Linked DNA regions of Oryzias latipes. The protein of the gene in region 2 binds, or shares a complex with, the protein of the main gene of each other region. Links are inferred from orthologs where the notes say so. Each region holds a gene or a part of one and is shown on either strand. Other genes may lie near its edges.

What was found. The genes of interacting proteins can lie anywhere in the genome.
Region 1: eif2b2 (region 2) and eif2b3 share a complex: the UniProt entries of both Homo sapiens proteins name them as parts of the translation initiation factor 2B (eIF2B) complex. The link is inferred for Oryzias latipes from reciprocal best matches to the Homo sapiens genes EIF2B2 and EIF2B3.

What each region holds. Positions count from the first base shown.
Region 1 is NC_019875.2:24,320,658-24,325,314, reverse strand, and holds part of eif2b3 (translation initiation factor eIF-2B subunit gamma), read left to right. Parts: intron 1-1,712; coding exon 1,713-1,843; intron 1,844-1,996; coding exon 1,997-2,187; intron 2,188-2,324; coding exon 2,325-2,387; intron 2,388-2,528; coding exon 2,529-2,677; intron 2,678-4,657. UniProt on the Homo sapiens protein: Acts as a component of the translation initiation factor 2B (eIF2B) complex, which catalyzes the exchange of GDP for GTP on the eukaryotic initiation factor 2 (eIF2) complex gamma subunit.
Region 2 is NC_019882.2:17,134,958-17,140,119, forward strand, and holds the start of eif2b2 (translation initiation factor eIF-2B subunit beta), read right to left. Parts: upstream 3,187-5,162; 5' UTR 3,099-3,186; coding exon 2,927-3,098; intron 2,468-2,926; coding exon 2,347-2,467; intron 1-2,346. UniProt on the Homo sapiens protein: Acts as a component of the translation initiation factor 2B (eIF2B) complex, which catalyzes the exchange of GDP for GTP on eukaryotic initiation factor 2 (eIF2) gamma subunit.

The sequences.
Region 1 (4,657 bases), on a different chromosome or scaffold from region 2:
ATGGGGGTAACCCCATTTGTTCTGAAAGTATTTGCGAAAACATTTCATATAAAGGTGCTTTACCAAGATAAATCATTTCAAAATTGAATGTTAGCCTGTAGAGGGTTTAATCTCATTTTTCTTTGATTGCAAACTGTAACGTCAAATCCTCATTTCTCATCCTCCCGTTGATGTTTTTGTTAAACAGATGTAGATGTAAAATCTTCATCAATCATTGCATGACTAATGCACCTTCTATTGCCACCATATATTACGTCCAGTTAGATGACTCATTCTTTTCTTCAGCTTCTTTCTTGGACTTTCTTTTCACTGCCCCTCTCAACCTCTCCTGCTTCATCTCCGTTCTTTCTCTGTCTATCGCTGGAGGAGAGAAGTAGACAGAGTAACTGTTGTTTTTCTCCTGTTATTCAGATGGAAATTCTAATCTCCCTTTAAAAGAGAGTAAGTGAAGGAAAGTTGAAGGGGGGCAGGGTGGTGTGGGATGGTGGAGAAGAACACTGATTGTGGTGCGGAGAGAAGAAAATCGGATGTTAATTGAACAGAATTAGAGGTGATGGTATATTTTCCTCCAGTGTGCTTCTATTTAAAAATTGATCGCTGTTTTATTGATCCCATAAAAAAATGATGAGACTATATTCCAGTGGATTTGAGCAGCCAACTATCAGTTGGTTAGCCAGCGGTATAACTCCCAGACTTAACAGTTATTGTGTTTTGGGGCAAGATAGCCACATGAACCCCAAATGTTAATTTAGAAAAATAACAAACAAGGAATAAATCTGTAAATTCTACTAATTAAATTATCTTGTAAATGCTAAATAATATAGACATCCACTTGTATGCTCAAATCCATTAAGCAAAATGATGTGATGACTTCACATGCACAGCAATTTTACCAAAAATATCAGCGGATGATGTCAATCAAAAGTTCTACATTGACTAAACTGCTTCAACGGCGGTGAACACAACAATGCTCCTGCACAAAAAATGGAAAATTGATCGCTATTGCAAAATGAGCCTGTGCGATCAAGTATTGCAAAAGACAGCGTAAACTGCGATAAATGGTTACCTTTATGTTTACACACTTGCATAAACAGGGAAGCCTTTAATTTTCATTTAAGTGCACAATACCCAGTACATTGTTCTTTATTGTTGCCCATTTTAGTTTTAGCCAGTACTACCAGAAAGGTAGAAAATTGTTCTTTGGTGTGTTTTCCCACCATACAAGTTCTTTCCAGTCTCCTATTGAAGTAACTTTCTATGTAATTTATGTTACCTTTTTTTTTTAAACAGAACTGTTGCAGTGAAATGAAAACAATGCATTAGTTATTTTTTGTTTTCTTGGTTTTTGCTCGTTGTTCATGTGTCGCAGGTCATAGTGTCATCGCAATAGTTTTCCTCGTATCGTTCAGCCTGACTAATTATTAGTCTGCAACAAACTCCAAGGGGTAAATTGTAAAGCATTTTTTTGATTAAAAACCTGAAGTCATTAATTACCCAAAAACAGGAGAGACTTTGTGTTATATAGTAAATAAAATAAAGACAATCGGTTGTCATTATCAGACATCTGAAAAAAAATCAAAATCCAATATTGAAGATCCCTTGTGAAGTAATTTATCTTTGCAGTCACAACAATGCACTTTGATAAAATGTCATCAGCTTCACCTATTTTTAGCGTTACTGTTAACTTCTTCTTTCTTCTTCTTCTGTCTCAGGTCCATTTCATCGATCCGTGGAGAGCTGTTGCCATATTTGGTGCGTAAGCAGTTTTCCAAAACAGCAAACTATGAGAAAATAAAAGACGACTGCGAAGACCAAACGCAGAAAAAGAGCTCTACAGACGACGGTAATCCTCTGCACAGAAAATCACATCAGTAGCTTAAATATTGCTACCTGGTTTAGTCACCTCTCAATTCTGAAGGAGAGGCAGCCAAATTCCTGTTTCTGATGTTGCTTTGTGTAATTCTGACATTCATGGTGGTTCCCTTGTTCCCGTCAGAGGTTGTCATCTCATCACGGGATGAATCCCTCCTCCAGCGAGCCCAGGAACTCTCCTGTTGGAATGATCATCGTGGGGACATGAGTGAAGCTTACCATGGAGGAAAGCTGCGCTGCTACGTCCACATTATGGAGCAGGGACTGTGCTGCCGCGTTAACACGCTGGCTGCTTATATAGAGGCAAACCGGCTGGTTAGTGACAAATGACCCCGTTTACAGTCTGTTCAAATTCTGTAAAGCACTACTCCTAATAGAAGAACAGATATTTTTACTTTTAACTCTTAAAAGGCCTTTCTTGGAAGATGTTGTTACCTTTTTTTCATGGTTAGGCTCCAAAGCTGTTTGAAGAACCAGCGGTCCACCCATCTTCAGTCATTTCAGAGAGATGTCAGGTATATGTGACACACAAACGATCTGACATACTTCACCTAACCAAGTCCTATAATAATTGCCCCAAATCTATCACTCTGAAATGATTTGTATGTCTACTGTTTTGTTTCTGATCCACATCACTGCTTGGATTCTCCCCTCAGATGGGATCAGACAGTATCATCGGGGCTCTGTGTCAGGTGGCGGATAAAACCTCCATAAAAAGATCCACGATTGGAAACTCGACCACAGTAAAAGAAAAAGTCAAAATCGCCAACTCCATCATTATGCATGGAGTTGCTATCGAGGAGGGGTAAGAACACACATTTATGTACCGGTACATATTGTCAAGTATAAGAATGTGCCTCAGAATAACCTTTATAAAGTCATAAACTGTCACTCCTACTAGAAATTATTAGTAAATTGTCACTGTGTTCCTGGAATTCTTTCCCTTTTTAGTTTAATCTTCACTTCTAATTTTTTAAATTTCAGTTGGATGTCAGATTTTATTCAAATATAAACAGAACAATGGCTATTTTTTTTTTAAATCCCAGCAGAACCTTTCACCAGTTTAGTCAGTGCTATGCTAATGGTGTGTGGGAGCCTGTTTGTGCATCAGGGCAGATGCTCACTGATATGTGTGTGTCTGCTGATAGGAGGTGTAGGTTTTGTTTTCTGGCCTCTCGCAGGTCAAACAGGGATCATCGTGTTAACAAAGCATGTATTGGTGTGCAGCCAGCCAGAGACCAGTTCCAAACAAACAGAGCTGCTCAAGTGAAGCACAACGTCCGTATATTTCAGTCCACGTCACATTTACACACCTTTATCCAAGTTTCACCCTTGTTGTACAATTAGTGAAATACCTTTGACTCCTAATGGTTCTCTAAGATAGGTCCGTTTTTAATTTTTTGTGAATATGTTTAACTATTTCTTTTTTGTTTTGTTTCTTCACTGAGGAATCAAATCATTGTTTTTAAATTGGGACATCTGTGTTTATAGCTTAATAAGTGAACTGACTTTGTTTGAATTTTTTTTCTGGTTTTAAAGTGTTTACAGCGACTAAACTCAAAAAGAATGCGTTAAAAACTTGTATATTTGTTCTGTTTTATCATTATTATTTTTTGGGGGAAATCAGGAGTTCAGATCATGATTAGTTACATCATTTAAACTGCTTTGAAGTTTGAATTCCACATTTACGACCAAAGCCAAGCCTAGGTGGGGAAACTATAAAAAATATATTTGTCTTTAAATACATAGATACAGTTGTCCCTTGTTTATCGTTGAAGTTACATTCAAAAATAACTAGTGATAATTGAAATCTGCTAAGCTGTCATCTTTATTTTTGATAAAATGTTCACATTTTCACACTTTTCTCTCTTGTTTAATCCTCAAAGTTCAAACCTAAATAGAAAATAAGTCCAGTATGACAAAGATCTGCTCACGATTGTAGATTTTCGTAAAATTGGCGAGATGAATGCATCCTGTACAGGAGACAGGAGGGGATTGATTCACAGTGGTCTACAGCCAATCAGGAGGCAGAATGCGCTGCTTAAAAAAGAATCCACCAAAAAAAATCTGCACAGACAGTGGTGCAAAATGTCGAAGCGGTGCAAATCTTGCTCCAGGCTTTTGCTTTCACAGCTCTACTCCGATATATGAAAGACTTGATGTCATATACAGTGGTGGACAAAATTGTTGGTACCCCTCAGTTAAACAAAGTCCACAATGCTCACTGAAATGACTTGAAACGTTCAAAAGTAACAATAAACTAAAATTTACTGAAAATTAAATCACCAAAATCAGCCATTACCTTTGAGTTTTTGATTAACAGAATTATTTTTAAAAACAAACTAATGAAATAGGGCTGGACAAAAATGATGGTACCCATAACTTAATATTTTGTTGCACTACCTTTTGAGGCAATCACTGCAATGAAACTGTTTCTGTATTTTTCAATGAGCCTTCTGCACCTGTCCACAGGTATTTTGGCCCACTCCTCATGAGCAAACTGCTCCAGTTGTCTCAGGTTTTCGGGTGTCTTCTCCAAATAGCATGTTTCAGCTCCTTCCACAGATGTTCAATGGGATTCAGATCTGGGCTCATAGAAGGCCACTTCAGAATAGTCCAACACTTTTCTCTTAGCCATTCTTGGGGGTTTTTGGCTGTGTGTTTTGGATCGTTGTCCTGTTGGAAGACCCATGACCTGCGACTGAGACCAGGCTTTCTGACACTAGGCAGCACATTTCTATCCAGAATGCCTTGATAATCTGGAGATTTCATTTGACCTTGCACA
Region 2 (5,162 bases):
ACCATAATGATTTCTTTTTCATTGTGATTTTAAATGTATCTAATCTGATCATTTCCCTTGTTTTTATGAAACACATTTGTGGATCCTGAGCCATGGGGAAAGCTTGTCAAAAGATCTACGGGAACGGTAACTGATCTGTACTAAACAGGAAAGGGATAAGAAGATATTTATGGAACTGAGGATGCCAGTCAGCAGTGTTCAAATGTGAGGGGTTCTATTGAAACCAAACCACCATCACGAACATTTCTGCCAGAAAACTCGTTAGGGATGCAAAGAAAAACCCCACAGCTGTGATCCAAGGTTAAAATAGTTTCGGATTTTTTATTAGTTTTAGTTTTTGTTTCGTTTTGAATTTTTGTTTTTAAATTTATTTAGTTTTAATTAGTTTTTAGAGGCAGCTTTACTAGTTTTTATTTTTTGAAATTGCTTCGTTTTAGTTTAGTTTTTATTAGTTTTAGTGTTAGTTTTAGTTTTTTCTTCTTTTTTTTTGTAAATTAGGATATTTGTCAGGTGCATGATTCAAAATCACCAGAATAAGTATTGTATAATAAAAACTCAATCAAAGATCCATTTTGAAACACTTATTATTCAGAGGACACAAGGACAACCATCCTTAAATTAAAATACAACAGCCGATAACAGCATTACGTTATCTGCTCTCGCTTCTTTTTCGGGGGAGGGCGGGCGACAGGCTAGCTTGTCTAGGTACCGTTGATTTGCGTTTTTGTGTGCGCTTTTTAAATGTACTTTTAGATTCGTAGGGTTTTTCCCTTAGAGGAGCGTTCCACAAATTTTGTCTCCTGCTTCGACTACAAGGCACTTACTTTAGTTTTCGACACTGTTATATTAAAAAAAGTCCCAAATAGGACTCTCCCGCTTTCTCCCAACTTTTAATGCAGCCATCACGCTCATGTAAATGTCTATGACAACGCTAACCGGCAGTGTCTGACAGACATCATGTGACGTCACAGACAACGTGATGCCGCAGGGGTCAAATACACAGTAAAACTAGCAGCGTGAAGTAAATAGATTTTATTTCAACCCAAAAGACTTATGTATTAACAAAGATGAAAACTAAGTCTTTTTTGGGGTTAATATTATTTAGTTTCAGTCCGTTTTATACACACAACAAACAGTTTTAGTTAGTTTTCGTTTTTTTTAAAACTCTCGTTTTATTTTTATTTCAGTTAACGAAAATGTTTTTTCAGTTCTAGTTTTAGTTTTTTCGTTCGTTTTCGTTAACTATAATAACCTTGCTGTGATCCAGGACCCTCTGAAAAACTGTGGTGTGGATGTTTCAAGATGTACAATTAAAAAGGCACCTGGAAAAATAAATGGGCTGCACGGCCGAGTCGCCAGAAGAAAACCTTTTTGACGCCAAAAAGCAGCTGACAATATGCCACACAGAACAGACACACGCCTCCAAACTTCTGGACCATTAGTGATGAGACCAAGATTGACATTTTTGGCCAAAACCTTAAACGCTACATTTGGAGAGGAGTCAACAAGGCCTGTGATGAAAAGGACACTATTCCTACTGTGAAACACGGAGGTGGATCGCTGATGGTTTGGGATGTGTGAGCTACAGAGGCACAGTGATGGCGGATAAATGCAGCACTTTATCAGAAGATACTGGAGGAAAACCAGCACTTCTTCAGCTCAGGGGGTGCTCATGGGACGCAACAATCCAAACCACAAGGCCACGCCCACCTGTCATTGGTTCCAACAGAATATGTAGACGGTTGTGGAGTAGCTGTCTCAGTCTCCTCACTTCAATATTATTGAGCCACTCTGGGGAGACGTCAAGTTAAACAGCCCAACAATTTAAAGGAACTTGAAGTTTTCTGCCTTTTACCATTAGAGAAAATCAAGAACCTCATCCACAACGACCACAAGAGACCTGAAGCTGTTATTGATACAAAAAGAGGCAATACAAGGTATTAAGAACTGGAGTATGTTAACTTTTGAACAGGGTCATTTGGGGAGTTTCTGTTGTTCTTATGATTTCAAGGTGTGAACACTGTCGTTTAAAAATAAATGGCTTAATCTAACCACTAACCACAAGTGAAACAAGTTTGTGTTATCAATCCTGTTCTCTAAAAAACGTTTAAAATCCTTAATTTCTTCCAGGATTTGTAAACTTCTGAGCAGAACTGTATAAGGAAACTCAAAACATACAACCAGAAGAACTTTTTACCAATAAACCATGAAAAATGTTTTTAATGGAAACAGAAACTATAAACGTATTAAATGAAGTATTTTTTGGTGAGGATTTTCAGTCTGATAAATAATAAGTCTTTCTGCGTGTGCCTGAAACACACAGGTGAGTTCTGGGGGAATCCTCACCTGGCGTATTCCTCTCTGACGATCTTCAGGACCCTTCGGATCATGTTCCCCACCGTGGTCTCCGAGGGCTGAGCGGCCGTCATTCTCCTTCCCTCTTTTCGGATTATTTCCATCAAATCACCTGAAACAAGATCAAACTTTTTCTTTTATTTTGGTCATTCTTGTGCAACATAGAGACTGTCTACAGATTGATTTCATGTTGGCAGTTTTATTTTATTTTACAGACTAATTAAAACACACATAAATATTAATTAAAATATCCTCCAAGGGCGGAAAAATCTAAATAAAGTAAAAAAACTTTGTAAAAAAGAATATTTGTGTTAAATTGGTTGAATCCTCTCTTACTGGAGGTCAAACAATCACATATGAATAATACTATTTTGCTTTTACTCAAACACATGTTAAACTGGTCAAAAGTTTAAGAATTTTTTAACATTTCCACCTTTTCACTGAAATTCATTCAGTGCAACGTCTTTGCTTGCTGCATTCAATTTAGGGTTCCCTTTCCTTTCTTGTGACCATGGCAACGCTTCCAAACTATGACTTGGAGGTGTGGAATTAAAAGAGCAGCCTGACCCACCTGCGCTGCTCCACCGGGCCTGTGCGGTGATCCTGCGGAGCAGGGCTGTCGTTTCCCGGGCTGTCTCCGCGGAGCTCCGCAGGGGCCCGGTCCCGCTGCCCCCACGCTTCAGATCGGACAGGAAGGCTTCCAGCCTCTCCGTCAGGTCTGTTTCTTTGTCTGGACCAGGCATGGTTCCGATTAAAAAGCCCACTCAAGCCAAAAAACAACTCCCTCGCTCTGTCAGAAGGATAAGGAGGAAACACTTTCGAACCACTTCCGGGTGAGGGGGACGGTCCTTTTCTCTGATTGGTGGCTTTAAAACAGGGCGTTACATCAAAACAAACACCTTACAAAAATGTTAAATATCTTTATTTATTTATCCATTTATGTATTTATATTAATGCGAAATGTAATATATTAATGATCCTGTGGCGGTGGATCACAAAAGCTATGTGTCTGACATTTTACATGTGGAAAACAGTATGGAGCGGACTGACTGACTGATGGATGAGTGGCTCTGACCCTTCATGCCATCAGACGGACCAGAGTGACAGAATGTCTGACGGCAAGAGGGCTCGTGAAGGGTTTCCCTCACTCATCTGCTGCATTGCCCAAAAATGTGCCTCCATACTTCAGGTTGACAGAGGAGTTTTCCGTGCAACACATAATGTGTTCAGAGCTCCTCAACTTATTCTTCCAGTCAGTTTACATCACCAACTGATCATTTTGGCACATGAAGGTCATCAAGGCTTTGCAAGAACCAAGCAGAGACTCAGAGATTTGTACTAGTGGCCTGGCAGGGATGACCAAGGGATACAACACGTTAAAGGGTGCCAACTGTGTCAAAGTAGTGATAAAACTGCAGTTCCTGCTGCAGCTCCACTTGTACCGGCGCCATTTCCTTCTTTGCCATAAGACAAGGTGGCAATTGACGTTGTGGGTTCTTTTGAGACTGCTGTTTGGGAATGTAAGTATGCAATCACACTGGTGGATGATCACAGTATGGCCAGAAGTGGGTTTTGCAGCTTCTGTTACAGCTGAGACGGTGATCTTCAGTTTTCAGCAGAAGTAAACCCAGTTTACTGTTTGCTGCGTTCCTGCAAAAGAATGAATTCACTACAACAGTTATGTAGGTTGCATTCTTATTTGAGTAAAAAGAGGAACATGTTGTGTTCTGATGTTACCACTAGGGGGCGATGCAAGATTCGACAATGTGATGGAGAAGAAGAGAAGTGTATAAAGTATATTCTACAAACACATTCTGTTCAAAGTGTTCCAGAATGAAGTTCATGTGTAAAGAAACGCCATCTGATCCTCACAAGATACCACTACTGGGAGCATTTTTATCATTTTGTCTCTGGGTTTTGTCCCAAGATAGATAAAGGTTTAAAAAGCAGGTTTTTACTGTATTTTCAGCTGAAATGAATGTTTTAAAATGCTACAACGACAAGTGCATTGGTTCATAAATGGATTCTCTGGCCTCAAGCAGTTGCAGCATCTGTCTGATGATGTGATGCAGGGTTATCAGGACTTTAACCCCTAACCCTTTATGAAGGACTTACAGATTTGGGAGGAGCTTGGTAGAGTTTTTAAATGATTGAACAATAAATAGGTTTGGATTTAGTGAACCTGCAAATCTGTCTGCCAGAAAATGGGTTTTGATTTGTTAAACACAATTTAAAACATTTTTTATGAGCTGCAAATATATTTAAATATTGCTCTCACACAAGATCTGTTCTGCGCTCTGGTTCCTGACAAGAAGGTGATCTTTCATAAACTATCAGATGAGATTTTTTTCTATATGCAGATAATAATCGGATCATCTGTAAAAGCATTGAGGTTTGAAATGTTAAAGCGGAAATATTTCAGGTAAATATCCTTTAGGGTTACGTTTTTAGTATGATAATTTCTTCCTCTTTAATACTTTTTTTTTTTGTTTAAGTTCTTAGCTAAGAGAAAAAAAAGGTCTGTGAGACAATGAGAGAAATATTTCCATCTTCTTTGAGTCAATAATGATTTAATTTTTTCCAAGTCAAATTTTTCAGTCAAAACAAGGATTTAGTCTTCATTTTAATCTATTACTATGCAGATTAATCTTAAAACGTCTCTTGCATTTAAATATTACAAATTATACAAGAAACTGTCAGCCAAAATATGAATGTATATTTTTCCAACATGTAAGTCACATAAAAATACCTCAAATATTAATTATTTTCCTAAAGCAATTTTCTTCCCCAAAATATGACAAAGGAAT